2 linked regions of the Tamandua tetradactyla genome follow. The protein of the gene in region 1 interacts with the protein of each later gene in a pairwise test. Links are inferred from orthologs where the notes say so. Each region holds a gene or a part of one and is shown in the gene's direction. Other genes may lie near its edges.

Region 1 (17,447 bases):
CTTCTCTCTTTTTCAATTGTTAGTATAAAAACTAAAAATTGAAAGAATAATATGAAAACACCCTCATACCCACAACTGAGATTCAACATTTATTAACATTTTACCATATTTGCATTTATATAAATACATTCTTTTTTCTGAATAACTTAAAAATTATTTGAAGCCATATAATATCATTACATCTCACCTCCAAATACTTGAGCATGTAACTCTTAAGACATTCTTGTATAACCCCCAAAGCATTATCACATAAGAAAATTAACAGTAATATTCTAATATCATCTAACACTCAGTCCCTATTCAAGTTTTCATTTTTGTCCTTAATATAATTTGTATAGTTATTTTTCCTTTGAATCAAAACCCATCACAGTTGACACACTGTATTTGATTGTCTCTTTAGTGTCTTTTTTTTATGATCATTTTTTAATTGGAGAAGTTGTAGGTTTACAGAAAATCATGCAAAATGAAGAGTTCCATACATCCCTTATTAGTAACACTATGCATTAATTTGGCACATTTGTTACAATTGATGACAGACCATTATTACATTATTAACTGTAGTCCGTGGTTTACATTAGTTTCATTGTTTGTCTTCTACCATACTATGCTGTTGTTGTTTTTCTAGTAACATATATACATTCCAAAATCTCCCTTTTAACCACATTCAAATACACATTTCAGGACTGTTAATTATGTTCCCAATGTTGTGCTTCCATCATCATCATCCATTATCAAAACATTTCCATTATGCCAAACAGAAACTCTGAACAATTGAAGTATTATCTCCCCTTTTTCCCCCCAAACCCAGACCCTAGTGACCCATGTTTTAGTCTCTAACTCTATAAAATTTACTTATTCTAATTTTTTCATACCACATACAATATTTGTGCTTTCGTATCTGGCTTATTTCACCCAACGTGATGTCTTCAAGATTCACCCATGCTGTTATATGTATCTGAACGTCATTCTTTTTTACAGCTGAATAATATTCCATAGTATGTATATACTTCATTTTGTTTGTTCATTCATCAGATGATGCACACTTAGGTTGTTTCCATCTTTTGGCAATTGTGAATAATAATGCTGCTTTAAGCACTGATATGCAAATATCTGTTCAAGTCCCTGCTTTCAATTCTTTTGGGTATATAACTGTAAGTGGATTGCCAGTCATATGCTAATTCTATACTTACCTTTTTGATGAACCCCCAAACTGTTTGATTTACATTTCCCTAATGGCTAACGATGCTGAGCATCTTTTCATTTGTTATTGGTCGTTTTTAAAGCTTCTTTGGAGGAATGTCTATTCAAGTCTTTTGCCCATTTTTTAAATTGGATTGTTCCTTTGTGGTTGAGTTGTAGGAGTTCTATAGATTCAGGATATTAAACCCTTATTATATATATGGCTTCCAAATATTTTCTCCTATTCTGTAGGTTATCTTTTTTGCTCTCATAATAAAGTCCTTTGATGCACAAAAGTTTTTAATTTTCATGAGGTCCAATTTATCTATTTTTCTTTTGTTACTCATGCTTTGGGTATAAAATCTAACAAACCAGTGCTTAAGACAAAGCTCCTGAAGATGTTTCCCTACATTTTCTTCTAGGAGTTTTATAGCTTTAGTTCTCATATTTAGGTCTATGATCCATTTTGAGTTGATTTTTGAATTCAACAATCAAATTTTGTATGTAGTGTGATGTTTGGGTCCACCTTCATTCTTTTGCCTAAGGACATCAGTTTTCCCAGCACCATTTATCGAAGAGACTGTTCTTTCCCAGTTGAATGAACTTGGCACCCTTGTAAAAAATCAATTGGCCAAAAATACGAGGGTTGACTTTTAAATTCTCGATTCAGTTCCATTGGACTTCTACCCAACAGATTGACATAGGCATACATGTACCCCAGTGTGCACATGGAACCAGATTGAACTTTGGTAAAACAAGTACAGATCTGGCTTAGACATTGATCCGATGGAAGATTGTCTCCTGTTGGGACCATACAACTAAAGGAAAATTTGTTTAAACGTTGCATGCTTTTCACGTCTGGGCTAGAAAGCGAGGAGAAAACAAAGGAAGGAAGAAAGAAAGGAACTCAGTTTTGGCAAAGAATGCATGCGTCAAAGAAGGAAAGAGATCAATTTAAAAAGCAGGTTCAACTGTTAAAAACTCTGTTGAGCCTTCCTAAAGGAAACAGAGGTACAGCAAAGAGACTGAAACTCCGAAGTCAGATCCCATTATACAAAGCTTGGAATATTCATGGCTGAGGAAAGGCACTGTCTCAAAGATCAGGTGGCAGATCCTGCCTAATACCTGAGGACACCAAATGCAGAAACATCAATATCAGAGTCAATAGGTCACAGGTGATACCCAAGATGGAACAAACATGAGAAATTCTGGGAAATTATCCTTAGGAAACAAGTGGCATGAACTTAAGCAATTCTGCAACAAAAAAGGGTGTAATCAGCCAGTATGTTAAAGACTGGTAATGCCTGCTACAACAGATGTGGAGACTTTGGGCACTAGATAGAGCCCTCCCTCAAAGCCTTACATTTGTGCCAGAAACACATAGTTCAGCAGAGTGTCATATGAGAACACATATTACTTGCCCCTTGGTTTTCATGGGGAAGGATTTTAGTTCGACTTACACTACTGGACTCTCTCCCATCTAGGGTTAGCAATGTCCAATTAAAAACAAAACAAACTACCACCACCATCAACAACAACAAAAAACTCCTTTACAATGTCTGAGTTTTGAAACAATGTCTAGGGGGAAGCTGAGGTTCAGAGATTAAATTCTCTTACAAGAAAAGTTCAAAGAAATTAAAATCTAAAGTTCAAAAATCAAATTTTCCTGTCTTTGTTGTGTGAAAAAGTTAAAGCCCTCCCCAATTTCAGATTCTGCAGACTCTCTGGAAAGGTTCCTGAAGGCTGTGTGGAGCTATGGGTCCTTCAGCAGCTGAGCCTGGCCCGTCTCACCCTGGAATATGTCATTCCATTAGGACCTCTGAGGTTGGTTTTGTTCAGTGGCCATTTTCTGACGAGCCTTACCTTTTTTTTTTTTTAAAAGAATGAAAAGTGATAAGGGCACCCAAAACACAATTGCAGTGTTAGCCCCTCACCTACCTAAACACTCCCTGTCCCTAGAGCAGTTAGTCAAGCAAAGTTTAATTTCCAGAACCAGTATTTCATGTTGCTAAAGTATCTAGTAGACACTTAGGGTGTGAGGAAAAACTATGGAGAGAATCTTGTTTTAGCTTCCCCTTGCTGTTTGTCCATTGGTCAATGCAAGTAGTTCGTATCTACAACCTGTGAGGGTAAACTCAGTTGGGAGATATAGTCCCATAATTTGGTTAATTTTGACACCATGCTTACCAAATCTGGTGAGAAAGATTCATGTATGCATTTATCTTAGAGCCAATTGACTCATTCCTGCCTTCTAGCAAGTTTAGGAATTTACAAATGTTGCAGCCTCAATCTCCGGGTATCTTACTTTTCTTGTATATTAAAAGATCTTTGATTGACATTTCTACTCTGAGCCCTGGAATTAATTCAGCATATTTTCTGTGTCCTGTGCCATAGGGTCTTTCCTGGGGGCATGTCTTTTCAGGCCTTTGCTTCAGTGGCTGTTGTTGCCAGGTCTGGCTAAGCAACTGACCTCTAGTTAAAGTTTACTCCAGAGCCACCTTGACACCGCCTGATGGCATAGAGGGCCTTTGAGCATGTGGACATGCTACATGAATCCAAGGTCAGTCCTTTTCCAGTCCCACTCCCTGGGGGCCCCGGTGCACAATGCAGAATGGAATTTGGAACAGCCTGGGCAGCGCTGCGCACCCAGGCCTGTCACAGACAATTTGACGTTGGAAACTCATGAAACTTGCAGTGTCAACTGTGGGTGGATCCAGGTTCAGGGGCCTGAAGTCTATACAGTGTGGAGAGGGTCTGTCTACTCGAAAAAAAAAGAATACAAAATGATGAATGGAAATAAGGCATGAAAGCAAATCTTTTGAATAGAATGGACAAATAACTACAAAAAATACAAATGTGAAAACTGACATAATAGCAAACATATTTATTAATTGCCAGACACACTCCTATAATACTTCTTGCCTACATTTCTGTCTATGTGCTCTTTAATCCTCTCTTCACAGGATAACAATTTTATGATAATATTTTATATAAAGAAAATAAGTAATTCAGTCTTTCCTATAGCATGAGTCATCCTCTTTTTAATTGATAGAACATGATAACAATTTTACGATTTTATATATATATATATATATATATACTATGCTGCATGGCAGGGGTCACATTTCATTCTTCTCCCATGTGAGTATCCCGTGATTACAGCAGCATTTGTTGAATTCTTTTTTTTTTTTTTCCTTGTTTGCTTGTTTGTTGTTTTGGGGAAATGCATGGACCAGGAATGAACCCGGGTCTCCTGCCTGGAAGGCGAGAATTCTATCACTGAACCACCCTTGCATCCCCCCACGATAATATTTTATATAAAGAAGATAGAAAGACAATTCAATCTTTCCTATAACACAGTTAATCTTTTCTTAAAATTAGGATGCATAAAACAAAGTCACTGTTTATGGTACAGGTTTGTGTCCTTCAGACAGAAGAATTCTGATAAATTCTATTTCATGTATTTTCCTTCAAAAAAAGATAAATGGTGGCTTTACAGTTTTACATGCTGTATTATTATTCAGTATAGTCCACGTGTGCTGTCGACAAGAACAGAATCTTGTGCTCACAATTTTACCAAAAGTCTGATGATTGACAGAATTTTCCATTGACTAGTTTCTGGCTCTACCCACTTAAAATCTTGTCCCTCCTCTAGGACCCACATGCCTTCCTGTGCCAGACACCACAGCACACATCCCGTACTTTTACAGCCCTGATGCTCACCATGCTGCTGGCATGTACAAACGGTTTGGGCAGCGTAGGGCACCCCGATTATTTAGGTAAACTGTTATATCAGTGTGGGGACTGCTTCCCAGCCCACTTCTCAGTCATCAGCCAAGGCTACGCCTACGCAGACCATTCTAATGGTAACGGACTCCGGCTTCCTGGGGTAAGTCTTTTCTGCACAGGGCGAGTGAGGAAAGGGGACCGGCAGGTTGCCACCGCAAGCACGCAGGCGGGCAGCGCGGACACTCAGGGAGATGGAGAGAACAAAGGAAATGCAGGTTTATGCGAGAAAATTAATAATTACATTTTGAACACAGGAAATTGGACATAGCTATGAGATAGGGTAAACTAAACAATGTACAATAATAAACAGCCTTAAAATCCCAGTGACTTAGCACAACGGAAGTTTATTTCCTATTGAAGTTACATTACTTTCACAGCTTGGTGGAAACTGGGGCGGATTCTGTTCCACATAGTCCCTTAAGGGCCCAGGCTGGTGGGAGGCTCCACAATCTAGAATGTTGCTCATTGTTCTGATCTGAAAAGAAGAGTTCTCATATCAGCTCTTCTTTGCACCAGTCTAGGAGTGGCACACTTCACTTCACCCACTGCCCATTGGCAATACGAACTATTCATATGCCCTCCACCAGCCGTAAGAGGGGCTAGGAAATGTGGGGTAGCAGTTGGGATGTTTGGTGAACACCATTGGTTCTCGCACAATATCCATGTGCAAATGCCAACAGGCAGCCCAACTGATGTGGAGACATTAATTTAGAGCCATAAGCAGGTGGGGTTCAAAGCCATACGCCACCCTGAACTTCTCATGATCTGAGTCCCAAGAGCCTGCAAAGGCGATCATGTCATCCTTTTCCAGTTTAAAGGAGGAGAGAACCCAGCTTTGCTGGTATCCTTTAAAACTTCCTGTAGTGAGACTAGCAGCACAACGGATGCTTTCGCTGGTTTCACAAGATAGACTCTGGCTTAGGATAGAAGGCAATTTTTGCATCTCTCTGAGAGGAAGAGCTTGGTCTGGAAAACCCTGTCTAGAAACAGCGTGGTGCTGCTTAGAGTTTGGGGTGTGGAGCTCGGCTTGCAAAGGTGAAAAGGACATTTGAGACTTTTTACACATGAGCATAATTGAGAGTCAAGGTCGCCCAGGGAAAGCTGAGGTGTTTGTTAACAAAACTCATGCCAGAGGTACCACTAGGTGTCAGTAGTAGGACAAAGTTAGAAGCACAGGGCAAAGAAGTTGAAGGAATAAATGAAGAACGAACAAAGATGCAATTTGATTCCAAGGAGAGAAGACTTAGAAAGTGTCTCCAAATGGTCTCAGTTAGAAGTTTGTCAAGCAGTGCCCACAGCTAGCTAGACCTGCTTTATTGCAATTTAAAATATAGTAAAGTAACAGCAGAAGTCATAAATTTTCTCCTGAACTGTAATGAATTTCAAACAGACTTTAAGGGTTCCTGCTGTTACCAAAGGTGTTTGTGTGTGTGTGGGTGGGTGTTGGGGGAAATGAAGAAATGCATTTTTTTCTGCCCCCTCCTACAGCTTTTCATAATATATCACATGACTGTAACCACATTAATACATTAGATGGAGATGAAAGAAAGCTTTCACTTCTCTCTTGCATTCTTCTTGGGTAGATATGTGTACATATCTGCTGAGGCTTTCAGTTTATCCAAAATTAGATTTAAGATGGATGTAACTAAGATGTGTCTATTCTGTATACCTGAATGCTCAGATATATCAAAGCAACAGAGAAGGGCTTTTCATTAGAAATGGTAAACCTTATTTAGTCCTTCAGTAACACAAGCCGGGATGGTTACAAATCAAATTATATCTGATTATTCATTAAATAATTTGATACACCAAACTAGATGGTTCATTTGTTTTTGGCTTAGTGAAACAAAGAGTCAGAAAGGAAATTATCCCCTCAAATATTACCAATCGCCCTCAAACTATTCTGAACTAAATAGTATCAGGAGAAACTAGTATTGGGAGCAAATCCAAAATTGGGGTTCCTCAACCATTATATGTTGAGGCTCATAGAAAAAAAGTGTCACTTGTATGACACACTGGGATAAATGGACGAGGCTCTTTAGCTTCAACTGCCTGAGGCCCATTGTAAGCCAGGTGTGGCACACTAACTGCTGTAGGAACCCTGGAGCAGTTTTTGTACTGTAGGATGAAGGAACGGCCACCAAAGCTTGTTAACCCCGCCGTCCTGAGACAGCAGGTCCAGATGAGACCCCGATTCTCTTGGGAAACAGACATGTAAATTACTTTGTGGCCATGGTGCTTAACCTTGGCTTCACTCTGGAATCAGTTGGGAAATGTCTTCAAAACACTGGTCCCTGGTCCCCATCTACAAAGTGTTTTCTTTCATTGGTCTGTGATGTAGACCGGGCACCAAGATTTTTTTAAACTCTCCAGTTTACTAACCACTGCGCTAGATAATAAAGAGTCAAGGACACTTTGAAAAATCTAGTACGTTCATCTAGTTTCCTGCTTTGCACACAACTATGAAATTTTCTTTTTAATTCAAATAAGTATAAAAAGAGAGCAAAAAATTGTTCATTATTTGATTATATAGTCGCAGTATGCATCTTACTAAAAAAGAAAATACTGCATGGTTCAAAAAATAAAAGTGAGAACCTGAAAGCCCTCCTTCCCGCGAGAGCGACCGCTGTTATTTGTTATTTCCTTTAAAAAGTTTATGTATATCCGTGCATATTTTTATCTCTAGAAGTAATTTTTATTTACACTAAAGAGAGCATATTATACATACGTACCTTTTCACATTCATTACATTATGGAATTTGTCCTTTGGTTCCACGGCTACAAAGTTAATTCACGTCTACATTGTATTTCAATCATTCCCCCGTTGAAAACCTCTTTGATTATTCTCATCCCTGCATTGCAACAAACATCCGGATACATAGGTAACATGCATCCTGACGAACATTTGCAAATATTTTTATAGGGCAAAGTTCCAAAAGTGAAATCGCTGAGTACAGTTAATATTTGGAAAATGTGGTGTGATCAACAAACATTTTAAAAATAAACTGATGCCGCCCAAGTCTGTCAAGCATACGATTAAACCTGCCAGTTCCGAGGTGCTGACAGAGCGTGGATGGCCAGGGGTCACTGACAGGTGGGGTCACCAGCGGACAAAACCGAGGAGGGGTTCGGAGGGGGGGCGGGAGCGCTCGGGTCACGTGGTTGGCTTCGCCCCGCCCCGCGGAGGCACCGCTCCTTGGCCCGGTGCTTAAGCGTGCGCAGTCGCAACAGGCGCTGCTCACCGCTGGCCGGGACGGTGGAGGCGGGGCAAGGCACTGGAGCGCAGTAAGTTTTGTTCTTCCGCGCGGAGCTGGGCCGCTGCTTCCTGCCAGGACACGAGGCCCGGGCTCGGGCTTCCGGTGGCGACCCGTGGCACCTGGAGGAGGCGGTGCTGTGTGGCCTTTGCTCCCGGCGCCTCCGAGCACTTCCCCCACCCTCCACCCAGGCCTCGGTTCGGCGTTGGTTAATGGTTAACGCCGCAGGGGAGGGTTCCGCGCGCCCCAGCTTGGCCCAACAAGCTTGTTCACTTTGAACTAGAATCTGGTCTTCGCCCCGCATCTGTCGCCTCAGAGAGGCAGGTGGGACGTTTTTAACAAGCTTTCCTGGCATTTCTGCACCATAAAATATAAACCCCGTTCCAGAATTTCTGCAGTCCCTTCCTCCTTAGATATTCGTCTTCTCAAGTCTGCAGGCGGGAGAATCCCCAGCACTGAAGAGCCATCCTTAGGCTCTCGTGGTGGTCCCTGGACCTGTGAGCACCGCTCGGCCCGAGAACCGCAGACCGTCTTTTTTCCTAAAAGGTTAAATACAGCCTGGACGGAAAAACGCTCGGAGCTGGAAGGACCTTAGAGATGACGGTTAACATTCTTTGTGCGTTTTCCACCGTCAGACCCAGCTCCAGATAATTGTGTATTAAAGCCGTTTGTCTTTCACCACACCTCCGTGGCAGGTGCTAGTCCTGCGGGTTTTTTGCAAACCAGGAAACCGCCGCACGCAGGGAGTAGGCAACATGGTCCGAAGCACGCTGCTAGCGACGTGCTCAGCCGGGACTCGACCCCGCGCCCAGCCCGCCTGAACCGGATCTCTGATGTCACTAGGTGACCATGGAGAATTTCAGCGCGGCGGTATGACTGTGTTAAAGTTAGTAGGGAATTACTTAGAGGAGTATTCCACTTTAAACATCTGTTGACGCGTTGGCATTCCCAGATTAAAATCAAAGACGAAACACGAATAACGACCATCCTTTTTGGTGTAATTTGCATATACCATTGCTTTGCTAAAAAGTTTTAGTCCTTTCAGGATACGTTCCTTGCAGGCTCCCTAGATGAAATGTTGGGGTTTATGTATCAGTCGTCACCTACTTTAGACTCATAGGAACTGCATTTAAATTCTGAGTCTGCTGCTTTGTGAGTTTTGCTAAACTTTTTAACCTTATCTGGAAAATAGGGATAGTACCTACTCCTTATCATTTTTTTTGAGGATTAATGAGCTAATAATACATGCGAAGTGTCCAAGCAGAAAGCTACTTTTATCTATTATTGTTCTGTCATAAAACAAGATACAAAACTACGAGCAAAGACATTTCTTTTTCTTCCGTGAAGCTAAAAGCAAGGGTGTCACCCTGGAACTATGTATTCTGATAATGTGCAGACCAAGTCCTCAGAGGTGAGAAACTACTTAAGTACTCAAGAGAAGTAACAAGTAAGTACCTTTATTTCTCCCACTTTGACCATGTCTCTTGTCTTTAGTGTCAGGTGGAATGTAACTTTAATTTTTTTTTTTTAAATCTACCTTTAATGTATTCCCTATGACCAAAGACATCTAATAGAGACTAAGAACCCATTTAGCTAATTTGTTATTTTTTATGAAGTAAGTGCCTATAAAAACCCAAGTTTAGGCGCCGGACAAAGAAATTTATGAATTATGGAACAAAATGGCTAAATTTTTCAGCAGGAAGCTTTCTTCATCAAGCCCCCAAACTAGATGAGTCATTTAACTTTTTATTTCCTTTTGTTCAGCTAAGATTCTGCTAATTCAGAGTAGACTCAAAGTAGAGGAAATGTGTGGGAGTATATGAATAGTAACAGTACCATGGACTCCATTACTGTTGTCCAAATAGACCATGATAATCACAATATTTGATAAAGAGTAATATGAATGTTAAATATAAATGGTCACCAGATATCCTGAATAAATAGTGCCTTTTATGATACACAATGGAAACAGTTATTTGAAGGATGAAATAATTCTTTCAAAATGCAAGGCTGTAACATAATCATAGTTCTCTGAAACCTTTATCATTTAGTCCCAGCCTTCTCTGCCCATTTCTTATCAGCCCTCACAAAGTTCACTACCGTTTTTCTTGGTTAGAGGTATTGACTGTATGGTTGAAGAGCCTGAAATTTAAAGGAGAACTGTCTTTGAATCTCATTCTTTCAGAGACAGGGAAGAACATAATTAATTTTTAATATTAGTCCGCATCTCATGTATTTTGTTACCTCCCTAGATCCTAGTATTTGTAGGCTTTGCCTAGAAAAAAAAAGGGGGGGGGGGGGCTAGTCCCTTACTTCTTCCTCTAGTACCAAGTTTTGAAATGAGTTGTACAAAAGTCTCAAGCAGTTCAATCGTGATCTATGCACAGGCACATTCTCTGAGGATATAAAGTGACATTATCCTGTTTTTCTTGGGATTTAGGTCATTCGCTACATAAATATAAAGTAGGATACAATTTAAACATAGAAAAGAGTAAAATAAAAATTAAAGGTAATTTCTGGAGCCATGTTTATTATCCCCCTTGCTTTTTTCTATAGATTTACCATATATATATATATAGTATTCATGAATAATACATTGTTTAGTTTTGCCTGTTTTTGCACTTGGTAAAAATGGAAGCATACTGAATTATTTTTGGTTACATTTTAAAAATTAATCCAGTTTATCCCGTCTACTGCTCATGAATTTTTGAGTTATTTCCAGTCTTTTATAGTTATAACTATTTTTGTGCATGTCTTCTGATGTACCTATGCATGTTTCTCTATGGAATATACCTAAAGTGGGATTGTTGAGTCATGAAGACATTCAGCTTTATTAAGTGATGCCAAACTGTGGTAGCACTTATTTATATCCTCACTAGAAGTTGCTCCATATCCTCACCAATAGTTGGTATAAATTTTTGCCAATCTATTGGGTAGAAAATGGTATCCCATTTGTGGCTTTGCTTTGCATTTACTTTGCTTTTCCCTACTAATGAGATTACACTTTACATATGATTGTTGGCCATTCAGATTTCTCACCTGTGAAATAAATATTCGTTCATGTCTTTTGCCCATTTTCCATAGTTATTTGGCATTTCCTTAGTTATCTTAAAATGTTGTTCGTGTATTATGAATATATACTTTGTTGGTTGTATGTGTTGCAAATTCTACATTTCTTCCCTTTCTTTTCTTTCAGCCTGTTTCTCTCTCTTTCAATTCCCATTTTTTATTATTATTGCTCCTCTGTCTGTTCTACTTTGGGTAGCTGCCAGAATCAAGTAAAAGCTGATGACTGTTTAGAAAAGCAGTGTGTCAGCCTTCTTTCAGCCATGGCTAACCCAGAAAAGCATGGTCATGATTCCTCTTTGTCTTTTCTTTTTAATACACACACACACTTGTTTTTTATGAAATAATTTTATAAAAAGCATATGTAGTATTTTCCCATCCTATTGTAAGTAAGTTAGTTAGTACATAGATTAGCAAGCAAACTTCAGAGTACAAAGTTAACATCCCTTATGTTTGAGTGAAATAAGCCAGACACAGAAAGATAGACATTAAGTGATCTCACTTAGATGAAATACCTAGAATGTGCGAATTCATAGAGACAGGTAGATTACAATGGGTGAGGGAAGAGAAAAGGGATTTTATTGCTTAAAGAATGCAGAGTTTCTGTTTGATGTGGTGAAAAATTGGGATAATGGATTTTAGTGATGGTAACACAATATTGGGAATGTAATTAATACCACTGAATTGTATAATTGAAAGTGGTTAAAATGGAAAATGCTGTTATATGTTATGACGAAGTTTTTTTTTCAAGTTTTATAATTGGAAATTTAAAAAAAAATTGACATCCCTACACTTACTAAGCTTGATTTGTGTGATGCTTTCTTTATTCATTGAATTCAGAGATCCTGCCTCTCCCTGTCATCACACACACACACACACACACACACACACACACACTACTCTAACTCAGTTTTGGAGTCCACATTTGTACATGATATCTATTGATATCTGTCTTGTATATGGGTCTAATCTACCCATATGGTAGATTAAAATGTGGCTTATAAATTCCTTCTGTCCAAATGTTCCTAATGCGTACACATAGAGGTTCTATTTGTGAATAATAGTCTGTTTTATGAACTTATTTTTTAGATGAGCCAATGCTCTTTTTCTCTGAACTTAGACAGTCATACAAGATTCAGTAAATATTTAGAGAAGTCATCAGGAAAATTCTCTGCAAAAGGCCTCTTGACACTGCCATATAAAAGGCTTTCCTCCTTGATGGGAGGGGATTGTGTTCATAGATTACAACCATTTTAAGCTAGGTATACCAAGATCCAAGTGCCTCTGTTAAATAGTTTGGGTGTGTGTGTGTTTGTATTTAAAATGTTAACTTGAGACTTGAGTGAAATTACAATGGCAGGTTCCTGTTGATCAAGGAAGATACATTGTCATCCTGTATAAATTCCTATGAAATATGACACTATTACTCTATTTAAAGAGGATATAGATTATGAAAGTTCAGCCTCCTAAAATTCGAAATCCGAAGTTGACATTTGATTTATAATTTTCTTAAGTACTTTAAATTGCATATAAATATATGTGAACTTAGTATCATGAGCATTCCATGTTGAACTTCCTAATGTTTTAATAGAAGTTGGGTCTCTACAACTAACATGGGCCATCATTTTGATTCACTTCCTTTCCTTTTCCATATGTAATTACTTATCTTGCATAAGCCTGAGTTGGATGCCTTTCAAATTGTTGGAGCTTTCTGTAAGTTCTAACCATGATGAAAGAAATCCATAAAATGATGAAATCCCATAAAAATGGAACTGAAAAATGAAAATGTTGAGAAAACCTAACCTTTGCCATAATCTTTAGAAGAATTGTTGTCACATTTTATTTTGGGAGACTTGTGTCCAGTGTAAACATCTATCGAGGCTTTGTAAGATGACTGAATACTTATTTTGGGTTGAAAATACAGACACATGCCTTTTTCTTAATTATTTTTATTGATATATATTATATATTCACATACCATGTAATCATCCAAGTGTACAATCATTGGTTCACAATACCATCATTTAGCTGTGCATTTATCATCACATATGCCATTTTTAGGGCAGATTGTGTGTTCTTGAAATTCTGAAGAATGCTTATCAAGTATTGTATGGTGGTATATAGTAATCATTATTTTGATTTTAGGACTGAGTCAGACTCATAAAGGGTAGAATTTACCCTTTAGCCTGTCCCTATGAACAATATTGACAGATTTCTCGTAGTCTTGACTTTTCCCACTTTTTAATATCTATATTTGGCCAAAAAGATATTAAGGAATGCAATAGGAGACAAACTTTAGAAATACGAGAAGAAGCAAGTAGGAATGGTTATGTTATAGATGTAGGCCCTTGTTTGGATGCTAGCTGGTATTTGACTTCTAGGAGGCTGAAAGTATAGGGAATAAGTGAAATTACTAGGAGAGAAGCATACAGAGTAGACCCAGTTCTGTACGGAAAAATCAAAGTTTAGGGATAACTACAGTTTCCTAGAAAACCCAAGTTTTATTCAGATATCATTCATAGTTTAATGCACAGAGATGGCCATTATTGTAGTGGATGTTGCCTCAGTGCCTGCCTATTTTGCATTTCTGGAGAATACGGGATAAAGTAGAGAGCAGTGAATGGATTCCATTTATCGATAGGTTGGACACCTCTGACCTTGCCTCTCTTCAGCCTCTTGCAGGTCTGTCTTCTACTTCACAGCTAAATGTTGAAGTGTTTCAGGAATTGTCCTGAACCATCTTCTCTATCTGCACACATTTTCCAGGTGATTTCACTGAATTACCTAACTTGAAAACTCCCGAGTTTATGTCTCTGGTGACTCAATTCCGATTTCATATATCTGACTGTGACTTGGTATCTCCACTTGGATAGCTGTTAGGCACTTCAAAGTCAATGTATGCAAAATATAGTTAGCTCTTGATTGTCCAGCCTTGAAGAAATACCATTCTTTTCTTAGTCTTTCCCATCACAGTCACTGGCACTACAGTCTGCCTGTTGCACATACGTAAAACCTGGGAGTCATCCTTATTTCTTTTTATGCAGTTCCTTCACTCTAGGCCACCAGCCCAATCTATCTTTGCCTCAGTTTCCTCACTGTGAAATTAAGGTAATAGTATCTTCTTTATAGTATTATGTTGGGAGAAATAGGTGTAAAGTCTTAAAACATTGCCTGGCACATAGTAATCACAATATAATTGTAGCTACTCTATTATTGTTACTTTTTTTTTCGTCTTTGCACTGTCACCTACCATTATCCTTCCCATCAACCTTTGCCATAATTTTCTGATATCTGTGTGTCCTTCCCCTCTCATTTCGCTATAATCCATTTGCCACGCAGCCAGGATGATCTTTTAAAACAGTCATGTCACACTTCCATGCTTAACATCTTTCAGTGGCTTCCCATTGCTCTTAAAATAAAATCCACACACAACACTGCACAGCTTGGCTCCTGCCTACAGCGCCAACCTAGTCTCCTGCCACTCTCCATATTCATTATGCTTCAGTCTCCCATATGTTCCTCAGGCTAGCCAAGCCTTTTCTTTCCTACCCGCTTTTGTATGTGCTGCTCTGTCAGCATGGAATTCTCTTCCTCAGCTCTTATCATATCTAGTTCATTTGCATTGTTCAGATTTCAATTCACCTGTGATCTCAGCTTCATAACCACTTTGTGAAATCACCTCCCTCTTACTCTCTCTCATGTTACCCAGTTTATTCCCTTTATGGCTCTTATCATAGTGTGTAATTATCTTGTTTATGTATTTACTTATTATCTGTCTCACCAACTATAATATAATCTCTGGAAGGGCAGAGACCTTGTCTGTCTCACTTCCTGAAATGCCAGTTACATAGTGGATGCTCAGAAAAAAATTTCAAATGAATGATCATCAATAATAAGTAAGTAGAACTTTGCTGGAGAATCCGAAGAGCTATTGTTGAAAGTTTTCTTTTTATTTTATAATTCTTCTGTGCTAAAGGTTATTATCAATAGCCAGTCCTTGATAGTTTTGCCTGCTTATTTTTTTAAAAAAATTATGTCTCCTTAAATAGACTCTAGAGAAACTTGTCCATCAGTGTCCCAAAGTAGGTTGTGATTAGATGTTACTATGTCCCTTTGATTTCTGTCATCTGTCTTAAACTTTTTAATTCTGTCGAACAGTAAAGGGGCTGAAGTAGCTCGGCTTCAAGATAATGTTCTAGGTGCAGACAGGAATCTCACTTGAATGAAACAGGCAACCCCTCTCCTGTTCACCCTCATTGTGGAGTGAGCTTCTCTTATATTATTGGTGGAATGGACATTGTCTAGATGCTTGAAGATATCCACTCTCCAAAAGAGAGAAGAAACCCTATAGGGATATCCAATAGTGTAATTATTGGTAATAAATGAAAAGCAAAACCCTTTGATTCGGTCCTGTAATTTTTATTTTCATGCGAACATTCAAAATATGCTGTTGCCTGGGAAGAAAGCTCAATCCTAAGATAATAAATTTATACGCGGTATATACAGTATTAACTTTTTGAAAATTACAGCCAAAAGCATCTCAATCTGTCTTCAGAGGAACGGAGGAAAAGCAGGAATGTTGGGATGGCAACTCCTGTCTCTAATAGGAAGAGGTTAGGAATAACAGGATAGAGTTGACACTAGGAGTGGATAATGAACAAATATGAAAGTTGTTGGCAAAACAGGATATATATAGTTTTATTTAGAAACTATGATAGAAAAAAAACTAAATGCCACCCCAAATGGGAAACCCTCAGGGAAACCTTCTGCATGGGGCCTGCGATCCCTAACACTGATGTATCATGATGTTTCCTTCTCAAATGGAATAAACATACCATGATTCTGTTCTTAAATTATATAGATGGTCTCTGTGTTGCTTTTAAAAAGACAGGCTACATATCTGTGCTGAGAAAAAAAAAGTGTATCTAATACCTACAAATGCTCTACTAAAACTTTTGTTAGAAATATTGGCTTATATACCTCTATAAATTAATTGAAGACAGAGCCATCTCTCTGAATGCCAGAATAAGGCAGAAGGAAGTAATGATTGGAACAGCAATTTCTAAGGTAAGAAAATAAAAAGTGTCCTTTTATCCCTATCTCACCCTGCTAGAATAATCATGTGGTTGTGCCTGTAAGAGCTGGCTGTAGACTCCAGGCAAAAAAACACAGGAAACACCTCAGCCAAGGGGCCTAGATCTGGTCAGACTATTCAAGAATCCCATCTTCAGCAGAAGACTGAAAACAATGCAGATAATAACCAGATATTGTTAAACTTTGAATTTGATAGGGAATAAAAGGATAGTGAAACTTTAATCTCTATATTTTAGAATTCTGAAATTTCCGTCTTAAGCATTGAAATTTATGACTCTAGCTCAGAGTGGGGAGTCATTCCTAATTTTGGTAGCCTTTAAAAGTCTCTAATTCAAAATTCTGGCTAACTACTTCCGGTATTTATGATTGTTTTATTTTATATACCTACAGAAAAATGCCTCATTTTGGAGAAATAATCGATATAATTATCTCTGTGAGTTAAGTTTTAGCCAAATGAATGAAGGCAACTTGCAGTTTTTCTCTTTTTTTTTTTATTTGTTTTGTTTTGTGTAGCATGGATCTTAATGACTCTGTACAAAATCCTGAAAAGAAGGAGTATTCTTCTGTCTGTGTTGGCAGAGAAGATGACATTAAAAAACGTGAAAGATTGACAGCTGTTGTGCATGATAGGGAAGTGGTCATTTTCTATCACAAAGGAGAATATCATGCTATGGATATTCGCTGTTACCGTAAGATTTTTTTCTTTTGTAAACTTTGTGCTTATTTACAAACTACGAAACTATCAAAATATCAATTTCATACTAACCAGATGAAACATTCAATTCCTTTTCAGATTCAGGAGGACCCTTACATTTGGGAGAAATAGAGGTATGTAAAATCTGTTCTCTACAAATCCAGAAGTTTCCTATTTTTTTTTTTTTTAGTAAAGCAGTTGTAGGTTCACAGAATTATCATCTGTAAAGTACAGAGTTTTTTCCCTGTTAGTATTTTACATTAGTGTGATTCTTTTGTTACAATTGATGAAACAAATTATTATATTATTAATTGTCATCCATAGTTTACATTAGGGTTCACTCTTTGTGTTATACAGTTCTATGTCTTTTT
Region 2 (15,690 bases), on another chromosome or scaffold:
GGGTCGGCCCAGGCGCCCCGCCCCCCACGGGGCTGTCCGGTCTGAAGCCTCGCGCCGCCCAGCCAATGAGCGCCGCCCGCCCGGGCGTGGCCCCGCACTCCGCGCATAAAGGCGCCCAGCGCCCCGGGCCCGCACGCTCCGTGTCCACGCGGAACCCCGAGAGAACTAGCCATGGTGCTGTCGCCCGCCGACAAGACCAACATCAAGACCGCCTGGGACAAGATTGGCTCCCATGCAGGCGAATACGGCGCGGAGGCCCTGGAGAGGTGAGCAGCCCCGGCCTCGCTCTGCCCCCCGCCCCCGCCGGGCGCCCGCCCCGCCGCTCACCCGTTCCCTCCCGCAGGCTCTTCCTCGCCTTCCCCACCACCAAGACCTACTTCCCGCACTTCGACCTGAGCCATGGCTCCGCCCAGGTCAAGGCCCACGGCAAGAAGGTGGCTGATGCCCTGACCCTCGCCGCCGGCCACCTGGACGACCTGCCCGGCGCGCTGTCTGCCCTGAGCGACCTGCACGCGCACAAGCTGCGGGTGGACCCGATCAACTTCAAGGTGAGGCTGCGGGCGCCGGGAGGGAGCCGGGCACGGAGCGCGCGGCGACCTTCCCCGGGGCGCGGGGTTCCTGGGGCCCCGGCCGCCCTGCTGCCCCTCACACCGCCTCTCTCCGCAGCTCCTGGGTCACTGCCTGATGGTCACCCTGGCCAACCACCTCCCGAACGACTTCACCCCTGCCGTCCACGCCTCCCTGGACAAGTTCGTCACCAACGTGGGCACCGTGCTGACCTCCAAATACCGCTAAGCCGGAGTGTCTGCGCCCCCCCCCGCCCGCCCACCTGAGCCTCCCGGTCTTTGAATAAAGTCTGCGTGGGCGGCAGCCTGCTTTGACCTGGCTCTGTGTCCATGTCTGCCGAGGCGCCAGGGGCGGGCGGCGGGTGTGGTGCCGGGACCACGGGCCCCCTGCAGAGGGGAAGGGGAGGGGAGAAGGGGGGAGGGCATGGTGAAGGGACGGGATCGGATCGCACTGCCAGAACGCGCCGAGGTCCCAAGGCAGAAGTGGGAGCTCCAGGGTGGCTGCGCTCCTCTGCGATCTCCCTGAGCGAGCAACAGTTACACACGCAGATGAGATCAAAGCAGGCTGCTCTCGGTGCACACGCAGGCACAGGACAATTTCCCCAAGGTCCTCCTCCTTCCACCAGTGGAAGGCGCACCGAAGCCCCGCGGGCCCCACGTGCTCTGGGCGGGGGCCGAGCTGGTCGGCCCTGTGTCGGGTCCCTACTCGCTGAGAGCGCAGCCTACATTCTCTGGCCCCCAGGCTGAGTTCTCCCACTGCCCTGCCGTGAGCACACATCTCCTTCGGGAGGGCTCCTGTCCGAGGTGCTGAAACTGCGGACACCCTGCCCCAAACTCGCAGAGGGGCGTGCACCCAGACGCGCGCACAGGCCAGGGCCACGCCTGCCCCCGGGCCCCGGCCCCAGCCCCAGCCCCAGTCCGGGCCCCGAGGCCGCCTGCAACCGGGCCCTGGATAGAAATTTGAGAAGGGTGGTGAGGTGCTCCCCTTTCTTTCTCTTGATCTTGGCCTGGACTTGAGCCACTCTGAACTGCTGGGGAGTTTCCTTCCCTCTTCAACACTGCCTCTGCCCTGAAGTCGACCCACTTTTATTTAAACATAGAAAAACGTTTTAATTTTAAAATTTTAGTTACTCAAAATGTGTCAATATTGGTTCTTCAGGTGAAACAAGTGGGCCACACTAATGCAAGCTGTCACCAAGGGGGGAGAACCCTGGGTGTGCGTCAGGAGAGCAGATGAGAACTGAGTTTTCTGTACAATGTTTATGTAAACCTAAAACTGCTTTTCTTTCTTTCCTTTTTTTTTTTTAAAAAAAACAGCTTATAATTTCAAAAACACGCTAGAATCCACCCACGCTTTCACGGCTCTCACTTTCTTGCATTATTCAAAATAAGGGCAGGGACTCACCTGCCCGTGCAGCACACACTTGGGCACACTCCTCCCTGGCACGGGAGAGGGGCCCAGGCGAGCTGGGCACTCAGCCCTCCACCCCACCCTACGCTGAGCAGCCTGCAGTCCCACCACTGCGAACTGCACCTTGTGCAGTTAATGCTGATACAAAATATAACCGTAAGGCAGACTTGGTCTGCAACCTGTCTCCATCCCCCATTCCTCCAGGCCAGTTCGTTCGGATCAGTCTCCTCCCAGTGTCGTGGGTCATTTCTACATTTCTGTTAAGTTCCTGTTAGTATCCTTTGTCCATTTTTCTTTTCCTTATTTTACATGGATGCTCTTCCCATATGGTGTTGCTTCCCCAAGTCTTTCCGGGAAAGAGTTCAGGTGTGTGTGGGGGGCGGGTTGAGGCAGGAAGGAGGGAGGTGCTTGGTCCTGCCCCGTGCTGCCTAAGGTCCCAGCCTCTGACCCCTGGGCTCTTTGGAGCCAGGACTGCGGCTGGAGCTGTGGACAGGATCAGGATAGGTGGGAAAAGGGTAGAGGGTAGGGAGAAGAAGTCGGATTAGTTGGGGGGTCCTGTTGGTGTGAGATGCTAAGAGCCTAGCACTGGGTGGGAGGCAGAGCAGAGGGTAGTGTGGCTTGGAGCTGCTTCCTTCTCTGCACAAGTTAGCCCAGTCCTGCCTTCCTCCTCAACTCCTGGGAGTTGTGAGTGAGGGTCCTGGAGGAGCAGGGATTTCCCCAAAGCAAGGCCTTCCTGCAGGCACCAGGAAGGGAATGAGCCGTGATGTCTCCCTGGATCCATTCCTGAGGGCCCCCCAACCCCCGCAGCTAGCAGCCTCCCTCTTCACCAGCAAGGCGACTGCCCCAGCTCACTCCCATCCCTTCTTGCTGCTTCACTGGCAGCTAGAAGGAGCCCCTCCATGTGGTCCCTACAGCCTTATCACTCTGTCTCCCCACCTCCCTTCTGTCCTGCCATGGGGGCCTCGCCCTCTGGCCACCTCCACACAAGCCAAGCCTCCAGCCTGACTGCATTTAATGTTTACTCATCCTTCGCTCTCACCTCCTAGGGAAGCCTATCCCGACCCTCAGACTAAACAGCCACCTGCCACTCTCCCGCACCCACTTCACGCTCCCTCTGGGTGGCTCACAAGGGGCAACTGCATGTTCACCTGGTGGGCATCTCAGTAGCCTCCTTCGGCCCTTTTTTTACGCACCCACTCAGCAGCTGGATGGGTCAGGTCCAAAGTGGCACATGGGGGGAAACTGAGTCTCATCCACTCAGCGTCTGGAGAGCCTGTCCCCTTCCCTTCACATGGGGTGAGATGGAGAGACCCTGCCACTGCCAAGTTGGCCTGAGCCAGGCTGGGAGATCCAGCCCCACCCTGCCAGTTCTGTGTCTCATATTTGCCCCTCCCAGTGCTTGGTGGCACTCGGCGACTGTGGAAAGACAGGGGATGGGAGAACTAAGGCTGCAGGAGACAGGAGGGTGCCCGGAGGCTCCTGATGTGCAGAACCCCTTCTGCCCCAGCGAGCGGAGCGTGCCTTGCTTCCCTGCTGACTCTCACACCTGTTCACTGATTCCTATCACCTTAAAAGACCAGTGTGGGGCGGGCCGCGGTGGCTCAGCGGGCAAAGTGCTTGCCTGCTATGCCGGAGGACCTCGGTTCGATTCCCGACCCCAGCCCATGTAACAAAAACGGAGAAACAGAATACAATAAAACAAGAAAATGTTTAAAAATGTTTCCCTTTCTTCCTTCCTTCCTTCCTTCTATCCTTCCTTCCTTCTCTCTGTCTTTCCTTTAAAAAAAAAAAAAAAAAAAAAAAAAAGACCAGTGTGTGCTAACTCTAGGTCCAGGGTGGGGCCACCAACCCTCCTTCCAGCTTCTGGCTCCTAGGAGGGTGCAACCTGGGCCAAGAAACGCTCAGAAATGGTGCAAGAGCTGGCACAGCCCTGGCCCAAGGCGGGTCTCTAGCAGCCGGGAAGGGCAGGCGAGGGGCCAGGTGGCCCCAGGGGGAAGGGCCGCGCTCAGCAGCCCTGCAGGACACCTGGCCTGACTCGGGTGGGACGCACCCCGCCGGCCAGCGCCCCACCCCTTTGCTCTCCGCCCCCGGAACCGCCCACCCGGGCGTGGCCCCGCACTCCGCGCATAAAGGCGCCCAGCGCCCCGGGCCCCGCACGCTCCGTGTCCACGCGGAACCCCGAGAGAACTAGCCATGGTGCTGTCGCCCGCCGACAAGACCAACATCAAGACCGCCTGGGACAAGATTGGCTCCCATGCAGGCGAATACGGCGCCGAGGCCCTGGAGAGGTGAGCAGCCCCGGCCTCGCTCTGCCCCCCGCCCCCGCCGGGCGCCCGCCCCGCCGCTCACCCGCTCCCTCCCTCAGGCTCTTCCTCGCCTTCCCCACCACCAAGACCTACTTCCCGCACTTCGACCTGAGCCATGGCTCCGCCCAGGTCAAGGCCCACGGCAAGAAGGTGGCTGATGCCCTGACCCTCGCCGCCGGCCACCTGGACGACCTGCCCGGCGCGCTGTCTGCCCTGAGCGACCTGCACGCGCACAAGCTGCGGGTGGACCCGATCAACTTCAAGGTGAGGCTGCGGGCGCCGGGAGGGAGCCGGGCACGGAGCGCGCGGCGACCTTCCCCGGGGCGCGGGGTTCCTGGGGCCCCGGCCGCCCTGCCGCCCCTCACACCGCCTCTCTCCGCAGCTCCTGGGTCACTGCCTGATGGTCACCCTGGCCAACCACCTCCCGAACGACTTCACCCCTGCCGTCCACGCCTCCCTGGACAAGTTCGTCACCAACGTGGGCACCGTGCTGACCTCCAAATACCGCTAAGCCGGAGTGTCTGCGCCCCCCCCGCCCGCCCACCTGAGCCTCCCGGTCTTTGAATAAAGTCTGCGTGGGCGGCAGCCTGCTTTGACCTGGCTCTGTGTCCATGTCTGCCGAGGCGCCAGGGGCGGGCGGCGGGTGTGGTGCCGGGACCACGGGCCCCCTGCAGAGGGGAAGGGGAGGGGAGAAGGGGGGAGGGCATGGTGAAGGGACGGGATCGGATCGCACTGCCAGAACGCGCCGAGGTCCCAAGGCAGAAGTGGGAGCTCCAGGGTGGCTGCGCTCCTCTGCGATCTCCCTGAGCGAGCAACAGTTACACACGCAGATGAGATCAAAGCAGGCTGCTCTCGGTGCACACGCAGGCACAGGACAATTTCCCCAAGGTCCTCCTCCTTCCACCAGTGGAAGGCGCACCGAAGCCCCGCGGGCCCCACGTGCTCTGGGCGGGGGCCGAGCTGGTCGGCCCTGTGTCGGGTCCCTACTCGCTGAGAGCGCAGCCTACATTCTCTGGCCCCCAGGCTGAGTTCTCCCACTGCCCTGCCGTGAGCACACATCTCCTTCGGGAGGGCTCCTGTCCGAGGTGCTGAAACTGCGGACACCCTGCCCCAAACTCGCAGAGGGGCGTGCACCCAGACGCGCGCACAGGCCAGGGCCACGCCTGCCCCCGGGCCCCGGCCCCAGCCCCAGCCCCAGTCCGGGCCCCGAGGCCGCCTGCAACCGGGCCCTGGATAGAAATTTGAGAAGGGTGGTGAGGTGCTCCCCTTTCTTTCTCTTGATCTTGGCCTGGACTTGAGCCACTCTGAACTGCTGGGGAGTTTCCTTCCCTCTTCAACACTGCCTCTGCCCTGAAGTCGACCCACTTTTATTTAAACATAGAAAAACGTTTTAATTTTAAAATTTTAGTTACTCAAAATGTGTCAATATTGGTTCTTCAGGTGAAACAAGTGGGCCACACTAATGCAAGCTGTCACCAAGGGGGGAGAACCCTGGGTGTGCGTCAGGAGAGCAGATGAGAACTGAGTTTTCTGTACAATGTTTATGTAAACCTAAAACTGCTTTTCTTTCTTTCCTTTTTTTTTTTTTAAAAAAACAGCTTATAATTTCAAAAACACGCTAGAATCCACCCACGCTTTCACGGCTCTCACTTTCTTGCATTATTCAAAATAAGGGCAGGGACTCACCTGCCCGTGCAGCACACACTTGGGCACACTCCTCCCTGGCACGGGAGAGGGGCCCAGGCGAGCTGGGCACTCAGCCCTCCACCCCACCCTACGCTGAGCAGCCTGCAGTCCCACCACTGCGAACTGCACCTTGTGCAGTTAATGCTGATACAAAATATAACCGTAAGGCAGACTTGGTCTGCAACCTGTCTCCATCCCCCATTCCTCCAGGCCAGTTCGTTCGGATCAGTCTCCTCCCAGTGTCGTGGGTCATTTCTACATTTCTGTTAAGTTCCTGTTAGTATCCTTTGTCCATTTTTCTTTTCCTTATTTTACATGGATGCTCTTCCCATATGGTGTTGCTTCCCCAAGTCTTTCCGGGAAAGAGTTCAGGTGTGTGTGGGGGGCGGGTTGAGGCAGGAAGGAGGGAGGTGCTTGGTCCTGCCCCGTGCTGCCTAAGGTCCCAGCCTCTGACCCCTGGGCTCTTTGGAGCCAGGACTGCGGCTGGAGCTGTGGACAGGATCAGGATAGGTGGGAAAAGGGTAGAGGGTAGGGAGAAGAAGTCGGATTAGTTGGGGGGTCCTGTTGGTGTGAGATGCTAAGAGCCTAGCACTGGGTGGGAGGCAGAGCAGAGGGTAGTGTGGCTTGGAGCTGCTTCCTTCTCTGCACAAGTTAGCCCAGTCCTGCCTTCCTCCTCAACTCCTGGGAGTTGTGAGTGAGGGTCCTGGAGGAGCAGGGATTTCCCCAAAGCAAGGCCTTCCTGCAGGCACCAGGAAGGGAATGAGCCGTGATGTCTCCCTGGATCCATTCCTGAGGGCCCCCCAACCCCCGCAGCTAGCAGCCTCCCTCTTCACCAGCAAGGCGACTGCCCCAGCTCACTCCCATCCCTTCTTGCTGCTTCACTGGCAGCTAGAAGGAGCCCCTCCATGTGGTCCCTACAGCCTTATCACTCTGTCTCCCCACCTCCCTTCTGTCCTGCCATGGGGGCCTCGCCCTCTGGCCACCTCCACACAAGCCAAGCCTCCAGCCTGACTGCATTTAATGTTTACTCATCCTTCGCTCTCACCTCCTAGGGAAGCCTATCCCGACCCTCAGACTAAACAGCCACCTGCCACTCTCCCGCACCCACTTCACGCTCCCTCTGGGTGGCTCACAAGGGGCAACTGCATGTTCACCTGGTGGGCATCTCAGTAGCCTCCTTCGGCCCTTTTTTTACGCACCCACTCAGCAGCTGGATGGGTCAGGTCCAAAGTGGCACATGGGGGGAAACTGAGTCTCATCCACTCAGCGTCTGGAGAGCCTGTCCCCTTCCCTTCACATGGGGTGAGATGGAGAGACCCTGCCACTGCCAAGTTGGCCTGAGCCAGGCTGGGAGATCCAGCCCCACCCTGCCAGTTCTGTGTCTCATATTTGCCCCTACCAGTGCTTGGTGGCACTCGGCGACTGTGGAAAGACAGGGGATGGGAGAACTAAGGCTGCAGGAGACAGGAGGGTGCCCGCAGGCTCCTGATGTGCAGAACCCCTTCTGCCCCAGCGAGCGGAGCGTGCCTTGCTTCCCTGCTGACTCTCACACCTGTTCACTGATTCCTATCACCTTAAAAGACCAGTGTGGGGCGGGCCGCGGTGGCTCAGCGGGCAAAGTGCTTGCCTGCTATGCCGGAGGACCTCGGTTCGATTCCCGACCCCAGCCCATGTAACAAAAACGGAGAAACAGAATACAATAAAACAAGAAAATGTTTAAAAATGTTTCCCTTTCTTCCTTCCTTCCTTCCTTCTATCCTTCCTTCCTTCTCTCTGTCTTTCCTTTAAAAAAAAAAAAAAAAAAAAAAAAAAGACCAGTGTGTGCTAACTCTAGGTCCAGGGTGGGGCCACCAACCCTCCTTCCAGCTTCTGGCTCCTAGGAGGGTGCAACCTGGGCCAAGAAACGCTCAGAAATGGTGCAAGAGCTGGCACAGCCCTGGCCCAAGGCGGGTCTCTAGCAGCCGGGAAGGGCAGGCGAGGGGCCAGGTGGCCCCAGGGGGAAGGGCCGCGCTCAGCAGCCCTGCAGGACACCTGGCCTGACTCGGGTGGGACGCACCCCGCCGGCCAGCGCCCCACCCCTTTGCTCTCCGCCCCCGGAACCGCCCACCCGGGCGTGGCCCCGCACTCCGCGCATAAAGGCGCCCAGCGCCCCGGGCCCCGCACGCTCCGTGTCCACGCGGAACCCCGAGAGAACTAGCCATGGTGCTGTCGCCCGCCGACAAGACCAACATCAAGACCGCCTGGGACAAGATTGGCTCCCATGCAGGCGAATACGGCGCCGAGGCCCTGGAGAGGTGAGCAGCCCCGGCCTCGCTCTGCCCCCCGCCCCCGCCGGGCGCCCGCCCCGCCGCTCACCCGCTCCCTCCCTCAGGCTCTTCCTCGCCTTCCCCACCACCAAGACCTACTTCCCGCACTTCGACCTGAGCCATGGCTCCGCCCAGGTCAAGGCCCACGGCAAGAAGGTGGCTGATGCCCTGACCCTCGCCGCCGGCCACCTGGACGACCTGCCCGGCGCGCTGTCTGCCCTGAGCGACCTGCACGCGCACAAGCTGCGGGTGGACCCGATCAACTTCAGGGTGAGGCTGCGGGCGCCGGGAGGGAGCCGGGCACGGAGCGCGCGGCGACCTTCCCCGGGGCGCGGGGCTCCTGGGGCCCCGGCCGCCCTGCCGCCCCTCACACCGCCTCTCTCCGCAGCTCCTGGGTCAGTGCCTGATGGTCACCCTGGCCAACCACCTCCCGAACGACTTCACCCCTGCCGTCCACGCCTCCCTGGACAAGTTCATCACCTACGTGGCCACCGTGCTGACCTCCAAATACCGCTAAGCCGGAGTGTCTGCGCCCCGGGCCCCCCCCGCCCACCTGAGCCTCCCGGTCTTTGAATAAAATCTGCGTGGGCGGCAGCCTGCTTTGACCTGGCTCTGTGTCCATGTCTGCCGAGGCGCCAGGGGCGGGCGGCGGGTGTGGTGCCGGGGACCACGGGCCCCCTGCAGAGGGGAAGGGGAGGGGAGAAGGGGGGAGGGCAGCTCAGGGCCGGTTTGACTGGGGGAATGTGCTGACCTCCTGCATGGGCTGCTTTGCCCATACATTCCCCCTTTTCTGCATTTTGTTCCCAGACCTGGCATGAGTTTGTTGAAGTGATATATTCATTTTCCATCCTGACACCTCTTTGTCAGCCTTGACCGAGTGGGCAGGCTTCACAGCCCTTGGAGCCCTGCTGAGTGCCACTCTCTCCCGGTCTCCTCAAAGCCTCCCAAACACACAGTCGCTGCTGCCCTGATCAGGGCAGGTGCAGAAATTGCAAAGCAATTCCCTGGAGCGGCCCTTCCACTGAGCCCTTCCAGGACCCTCCTTCTGACACCGACACCTGGCACCTCCATCCTTGGTGTCACCCTGGGAAAGAGCCACAGGGCCAGGGACACCCTTTCCTGCAGAAAGCCCTGGCATGTGGGGCATCCAAGGGTAACTTTCAGGTGCCAAGCCCAGCAGGCAACAGAGAAGGACCCCTGCCCACCCTCTGACAGTGGGAAACACCCTTTCTTCCCTGGGCTCAGGAGTTGATCTTAGCTGCAACGACAGGCCCCGTCCTCAGTTTGTGGTTTGCCACATCGAATTCAGAACTCTCAGAAAAAGTAGTATTACCTTATTATTAGGGAAAAAGGTTGGGTTAGGGCCTCATGAAAGGAGGAAACTACTCAAATGTCCATCATAGATGAGTGTAAAACAGCGTGGTCTATCCACCTACCCAGAGGAATATTATTCAGTCATAGAAAGGAATTTGTGATTGACAGGACAGTATAAACTTTGAAAACACGCTCAGTGAAATAGGCTAGACACAAAGGACAAATGTGTGAATCTGCGTGTGTGAAATGTCCAGAGAAGACAAACCCATAGAGAAGCCAGTCAGTGGGTGCCAGAGCCTGGGATGGGGTGTGGGGGTGTCAGGGTGTGTGTGGGGGGGGTGACTGCTAATGGGCACAGGGTTCTTTTGGGGTGATGAGAATGTTCAGGAACTAGATAAATATGAAGGTGCAAAACATGTACTAAATGACACTGAATCATACACTTAAAAATGGTAGATTTTATGTTGTGTGAATTCTATCACAATTAAAAATACATATAGGGTGGTGTTTAAAGCCAAGTGAGCGCTACATAAATGTAAGCTATTATTACTGTGGTATACCATAGGCGCTCAATAAGCGTTCATTGCTCTGAAATGAATATGACCTACGGGCCTGGCACCTGATATTTCCTATCCGTTTAATTCTCACAAGAACCCTGTGAAGAAAAAACCTTTATCCCCGATTTCCTCTATAAAATAAATGAGAAAATACTCAGGAGGCAGAACAAATGGAGGCTCAACGCCAAAAACCGCACTAAAAGGCTGTGCCATTTCAACAGTAGTAATGCATCTGCAGCGCCGTTTTCGTTTTCGGTAGACAAGCACCCTAACAGTGTGCCTCCGGGTCCAGGCCAACTCGCGCGGCCGTGCCCCCTGCAGGCTTCGGGGACCCGGGAGGGCACACCCTGCGCGGGCGGCGGGAAGGGGGCGCGGGGCGTGGGGAGCAGGGCGTGGGGAGCAGGGCGCGGGGTCCAGTGGGGCGCGGGGTGCGGGGAGCAGGGCGCGGGGGTCAGCGGCGGACAGGGAGCGCGGGGCGCAGGGGGGGGCAGCAGGGCGCGCGGACCCAGGCGCAGGGAGGAGGCAGCGGCGGGCAGGGAGCGCGGGACGCGGGGAGCAGGGCGCGGGGGGTGGCAGCGGGGCGCGCGGGCGCAGGCGCAACTGACTCGGGGCCATCATGGCGATGTCCGCGACGGATAAGGGTGCAGTGCGTGCGCTGTGGAGGAAGCTGGGCAGCAATGTCGACGTCTACGCCACCGAGGCCCTAGAGAGGTGGGGACAGGCAGGTCCGGGACCTCTCGGCTCGGCTGCTGCGCGAGCGACCTGCGCTCGGGGAGCGTCTGGCCGTGGGAGCCGGCTCTGCTCCTGCCCACCTCCGGTCTTGCCTCACCCACTCCCTCCCACAGGCTCTTCGTCTCCTTCCCCACCACCAAGACCTACTTCCCGCACTTAGACCTGAGCCCCAGCTCCGCCCAGGTCAAGGCCCAGGGCAAGAAGGTGGCTGATGCCCTGACCCTCGCCGCCGACCACCTGGACGACCTTCCCGGCGCGCTGTCCGCCCTGAGTGATCTGCACGCGCACAAGTTGCGGGTGGACCCGATCAACTTCAAGGTGAGGCCGCGGGCGCCGGGCACGGAAGAACCCGGAGAGGGCGTCGGGGAGCGCTGGGAGGGTTAGGGAGGCTGCGGGCGGGGATCCAGGCAGTGTCGGCCGAGTGCAGCGCGACCCTGACCCCCGCAGCTCCTGAACCACTGTCTGCTTGTGACTTTCGCCCGGCACTACCCCGGCGACTTCAGCCCCGCCCTGCACGGTTCGCTGGACAAGTTTCTGAGCCACGTGACGTCGGCGCTGGCCTCCAAATGCCGCTGAAATGGGGTGCGGGATCCCAGCCGCCCCCCGCCGCGAGGTCCTAGTGTTTGAGTAAAGTCCTGGCGCGTGACCGCGTGTGCGCGTGCTCTCTGGAGGGAGGTCGGGGTCGGGGAGAAGCCTGAGCTGCACCCCCAACTACCGATCCGGGCGCCGGTTGGGGCAGGTGACCCCCAAGCCCCAAACGCCCTCTCGGGAAGTCACGCACGGGACAGGGTACCGGCGGGGGAGGGGGGCGCAGCCAGCAGAAAACGAGCGAACCCTGCCGGCAGGGGGCTTACACAGCATGCTGGCCAGGTCCCGGGGACTCTGGGTGCCCCGGAGGATTGGGGTCACAGCTCCTCGGGCGGCTGCACTGCGGACCTCGCCAGGGGCAGCAAACAAAGCCAGGCTGGGTGAGGGTAGCCAGTGCACAACCCACGTGCACTGCCCTGCCGTCTCCCTCGAGGGAGGCCAGAGCTACTTTTTTGAAATTTCCTTCTTGCTTGCCGTATTTGTCCTCATAAAATCAGTTGTGGACAATGCAGAACCTCGAGGGGAAAACCGTCCACTTACCGCACCTTCCAAGCGAGTTCACATCCATTCTCTTCCATTGCCACTTGACACATGGAGAGATGAAGGCTCTGAAAGCTCACAGGAAGCAGAATTCAGAACAGGAGCACAGGTGTGACACTTGCATGCACACCACAATCATGCCGTGAGATACACATGCAGACACACACACACGCAGCGGTAACACTTAAGTGTACAGACTTCCAGATGGATCCTTGTCTGGGCTCATTCAGAGATATTTGGTCTCTCAAATGGCACCCTCAAATGTGACACTGGAGGAAGAGCAGACTGACTGGATTATATCAAGAGGAAAAAGGAAAAACAAACAACTCAATATGGGGAGAAAACAGATCACAAGCTAAGTCAAAAGAAAGGTAATTTCAACCTGTAGCAGAAGTTTTACCTCTACCAGAAAAGACAGAGTTCCAAATCCTTTTTTCCTTCTCTCCAGTTCCCCCTTTTAAGTCAGACAACCCAATAGAGTAATAGACCAAAGGATCAGCAGGCAACTCAGTATACCAGCGGCCAAGAGATACTAGAAAGCGTGCAAACTGAAGCACAGGTTATCAAGATGTCTCTCACAGTGAAGCGTATTAAAAAGGTAACATTTTAACATCCAATGGAAGTGGATTCAGCACAGCTTTCCTGCAGGCAGTTCATTGCACACAGGGGTGACCACGGTGGCCACCCTGGGCAGTCTGGAAGAGGTGGAGCGGGGAGCATCCACCAGGTCCCACGGGAATGATTTCCAGCTCAGTAAGCCCGGGAGAGATGCCACCATCACTTACCATTTCCACACTGATAAGATAGCTATGAGACCCTGAAGAGCAGGGAAGATGATAAAATGAAGTGATGTTGAGCATTCAGTCTTTATTATCTTCGTTTTACCAGGATCCTTTTACCTGTAAATTTGTAGATGTTTTCATAGTGGCTGTGTTTAACAACCAGCTCTCAAACTTCCTGAAAACTTAGCAGCTAGTGTTCTCTAACCCTGTAACTTTTCTTCTGGAAATAATCCCACAGAAAACAGTGGCAGAAACATGAAAATGTACGTGCAGTATGTTCTTTGAAGAAGTTTATTAGAGCAGAGAAGTAAAAAGAAAGTAAGAAAAAAATATTGTGAACCACCACCATGCTCATCAACAGCAGAGCCCAGACAAGCCACGGTCAGCCACTCAGGGGACGTCAAGACAGCCAGCAGGGGTGCGGGGCACTGCCAGGTGTTAACACCGTGGGGCTAGCTGTGGGTGAACGTGTGCAGAGACCCCAAGGGAGGTGAAAAGAACACACACTGGCAGCAGTTACCCTTGGGTGTGGGACTACAGGGGCAGAAGCAAATATTACTTTACAATAGCAAAGAGGTTAAAAAGATTGGACTAAGTGATTTTTCACTTGTGTGTACGTGGTTTTCATTTTTTCAAACATTTTGCAGGATACATTATCCTGAATATCTTTTATAGTTAAAAGTCTACATGCAAACATACAAATAATATCTAATAATAATAATATAATAAGTTCCTTGGGAGATTCTTATGTAAGTGGAATCTCTGGGGCAAATCGCTTGCACATTGTTACAGCTTTTTGATAGTACTGACAAAATTGCTGTTGTCAAGGTCCCATCAGCAGGAGGTGAATGCCCATGCTTCCATCACAGTGCCAATGCTTGGCAAAAACGACCACTCTGTGGTACCTCCAGCTGCTCAAATTACTACTGAAGGCGAGCAGTTTGCTCCATCCCCACCAGGCACCTGCTCTCCTTCCACCAATCACCCACTGGCATCCGCGGGCCATCCCACAGCCAGCCCTGGAGAAGCCATCCTGTATTATAGTTATGACCCATCAGTCCATCTTTTGTGTTGCAATTACTTGCCCATTTTCTTTCTTTTTTCTGGTGGTGGTGGTGGTGGGAGTGGGGGCAGGTAATTCTTTAGCCCAAATACACAGTTCTCTGCCAGTTCCACCTGTTGCTTCTTTTGGACTCTGGGGAGGGAGACCTGGGCCCATCACTGGCTGCAAGGTGCTGCCAGCTCTGGGCCACCATTACCAACCTGGGGAGAGAGGCTACAGTTTTATTTCTGGATAAATAAAGATGCTGGATAAGTTTTTAAAAAACCTTAGAAACATCAAAGAACTAACATGATGATAAGGAATTTCCAGGCCAAAATCCCACTAAAGGTGAGAAATCAGAGTCCCTGAGTCATATGTCAGACTAGTAAACTGGAACATGGGTTTTCCTGGCCTCTCCGGCTTACAGGGTAAAAGGGCAGGCTCAAGGCGGGGCTTCCCCTCAATGCTGCACCTACAAGAAAATCTCCTCCTTCCCTTAAACATGGGCTGGAAACAGAACAGACACCTTGGTACTCAGCAGAAAAGGAAAAATAAATCTCTGATAACTGATGCCATTTGCTTCCCCTGAGGGTTTGCAGCAAGCTCCTGCCACCCGAGTGTCCCTGAACAAACCCTTCAGGCTGGGGATGCGCTGAACACGTGCTCAGACTCAGTCACAGACACTGTCCGAAATCCTCCTCGGATAAGGCCACAGAGGACGGCGGACGGCAGGAGGCAACAACATGGCGCAGCCTCAGACATCCAGGCGCTGGGCACACCAGGCTCAGTTACAACAACCGGGTCACTGTATTTAAAACATTAAAGGTGAGATTTCAAACACCTGCAAGGAGTCTTGAAATACAAAAATGATACAGTGTATGTGAAAAAGAACCTTTAGAAAGAAAAATATAGTCATCAAAATTAAAAATCCAATGGATAGGTCTAAGAGAATTAATGAATTTAAAATAGGTCAGAACAGAAAGAAAAAGGAAAATCCATGGAGTGAACTATCCAGTGTGAGGGCCGGGGACTTGCTGCCAGCCCCAAGGCCTGTCTCATCCTAGTCCAGCCCAGGAAAGACCCTGCCCTTCAGGCAGAAGGAAAAACGACCCTAGGGGAACATCTGATATGCAAGGAGGAATGAGTAAAAATGAAAGAGATAAATATGCATAGATGGAAACAAACACTGGCTGTATATGAAACCACAATGTCTGTGGGGTTAAAAGAGAATCAGAAGGTGACCCCCGGAGTCCAAGCACTCTTTGGTCCTCGTCTGGGAGGCAGACAGAGATTTTCTAGGATTAACTTTAGACGCTGACGATGTTTGTTTCCGATAGCTGCTGTAAGGGGGGTCACCACCACTTTGGTGACTTAAAACAACACAAGTTCATTCTCTTACCAGCATACAGGTGGGAGTTCAAAGGGTGTCTGCACGGCCTAAGGAGAACCTTTTCCTCTTCCAGCTCCAAGCTGGGACTCCTCCACCTTACAGGCTGGTGGCACCTACTCTCACAGGCCACAAGGCTGCCTCCTTCTCGCAGGGACCCTTTTTACTACCTTTAGGGCTGCCCTGTATAGGTCAGGAGAATCTGCCATCTGCAGGTTTATTCAGGGGCCCAAAGTCCCTTTTCCAATATTCACCTTGTATCTAGGGCTGGAACCTGGCTGGACATCTTTGGGGCCATGATTCAGCCTAACACAGTGAGTGCGCATGTTAAAAACTCTAGGACAATGCAGACCAGGAACAGGGCGGACCACTATCCAGTCAGAGAGGGAAAACCAGACTGTTAAAGACTTTCCAAGGCAACTCCACCCCCACCTCCATGAAAGGGCAAAAAATGGAAAGAAAAATAATGGGTC

What was found.
Region 2: the proteins of RFESD (region 1) and hemoglobin subunit theta-1-like interact in binary tests that used the Homo sapiens proteins (3 or more experiments, as listed by UniProt). The two-hybrid records come from large-scale screens. The link is inferred for Tamandua tetradactyla from reciprocal best matches to the Homo sapiens genes RFESD and HBQ1.

Annotation. Positions count from the first base shown.
Region 1 is NC_135347.1:35,487,005-35,504,451, reverse strand, and holds the start of RFESD (Rieske domain-containing protein), read left to right. Parts: upstream 1-8,147; 5' UTR 8,148-8,253; intron 8,254-8,273; exon of another isoform or gene 8,274-9,569; 5' UTR 9,570-9,669; intron 9,670-16,287; 5' UTR 16,288-16,355; intron 16,356-16,895; 5' UTR 16,896-16,896; coding exon 16,897-17,071; intron 17,072-17,175; coding exon 17,176-17,210; intron 17,211-17,447.
Region 2 is NC_135349.1:57,158,199-57,173,888, reverse strand, and holds hemoglobin subunit theta-1-like, read left to right. Parts: upstream 1-10,710; 5' UTR 10,711-10,762; coding exon 10,763-10,857; intron 10,858-10,991; coding exon 10,992-11,196; intron 11,197-11,325; coding exon 11,326-11,454; 3' UTR 11,455-11,524; downstream 11,525-15,690. Other genes in the region: hemoglobin subunit alpha-1/2, read left to right, coding at 172-266, 344-548, 667-795; hemoglobin subunit alpha-1/2, read left to right, coding at 4,171-4,265, 4,343-4,547, 4,666-4,794; hemoglobin subunit alpha-1/2-like, read left to right, coding at 8,169-8,263, 8,341-8,545, 8,664-8,792.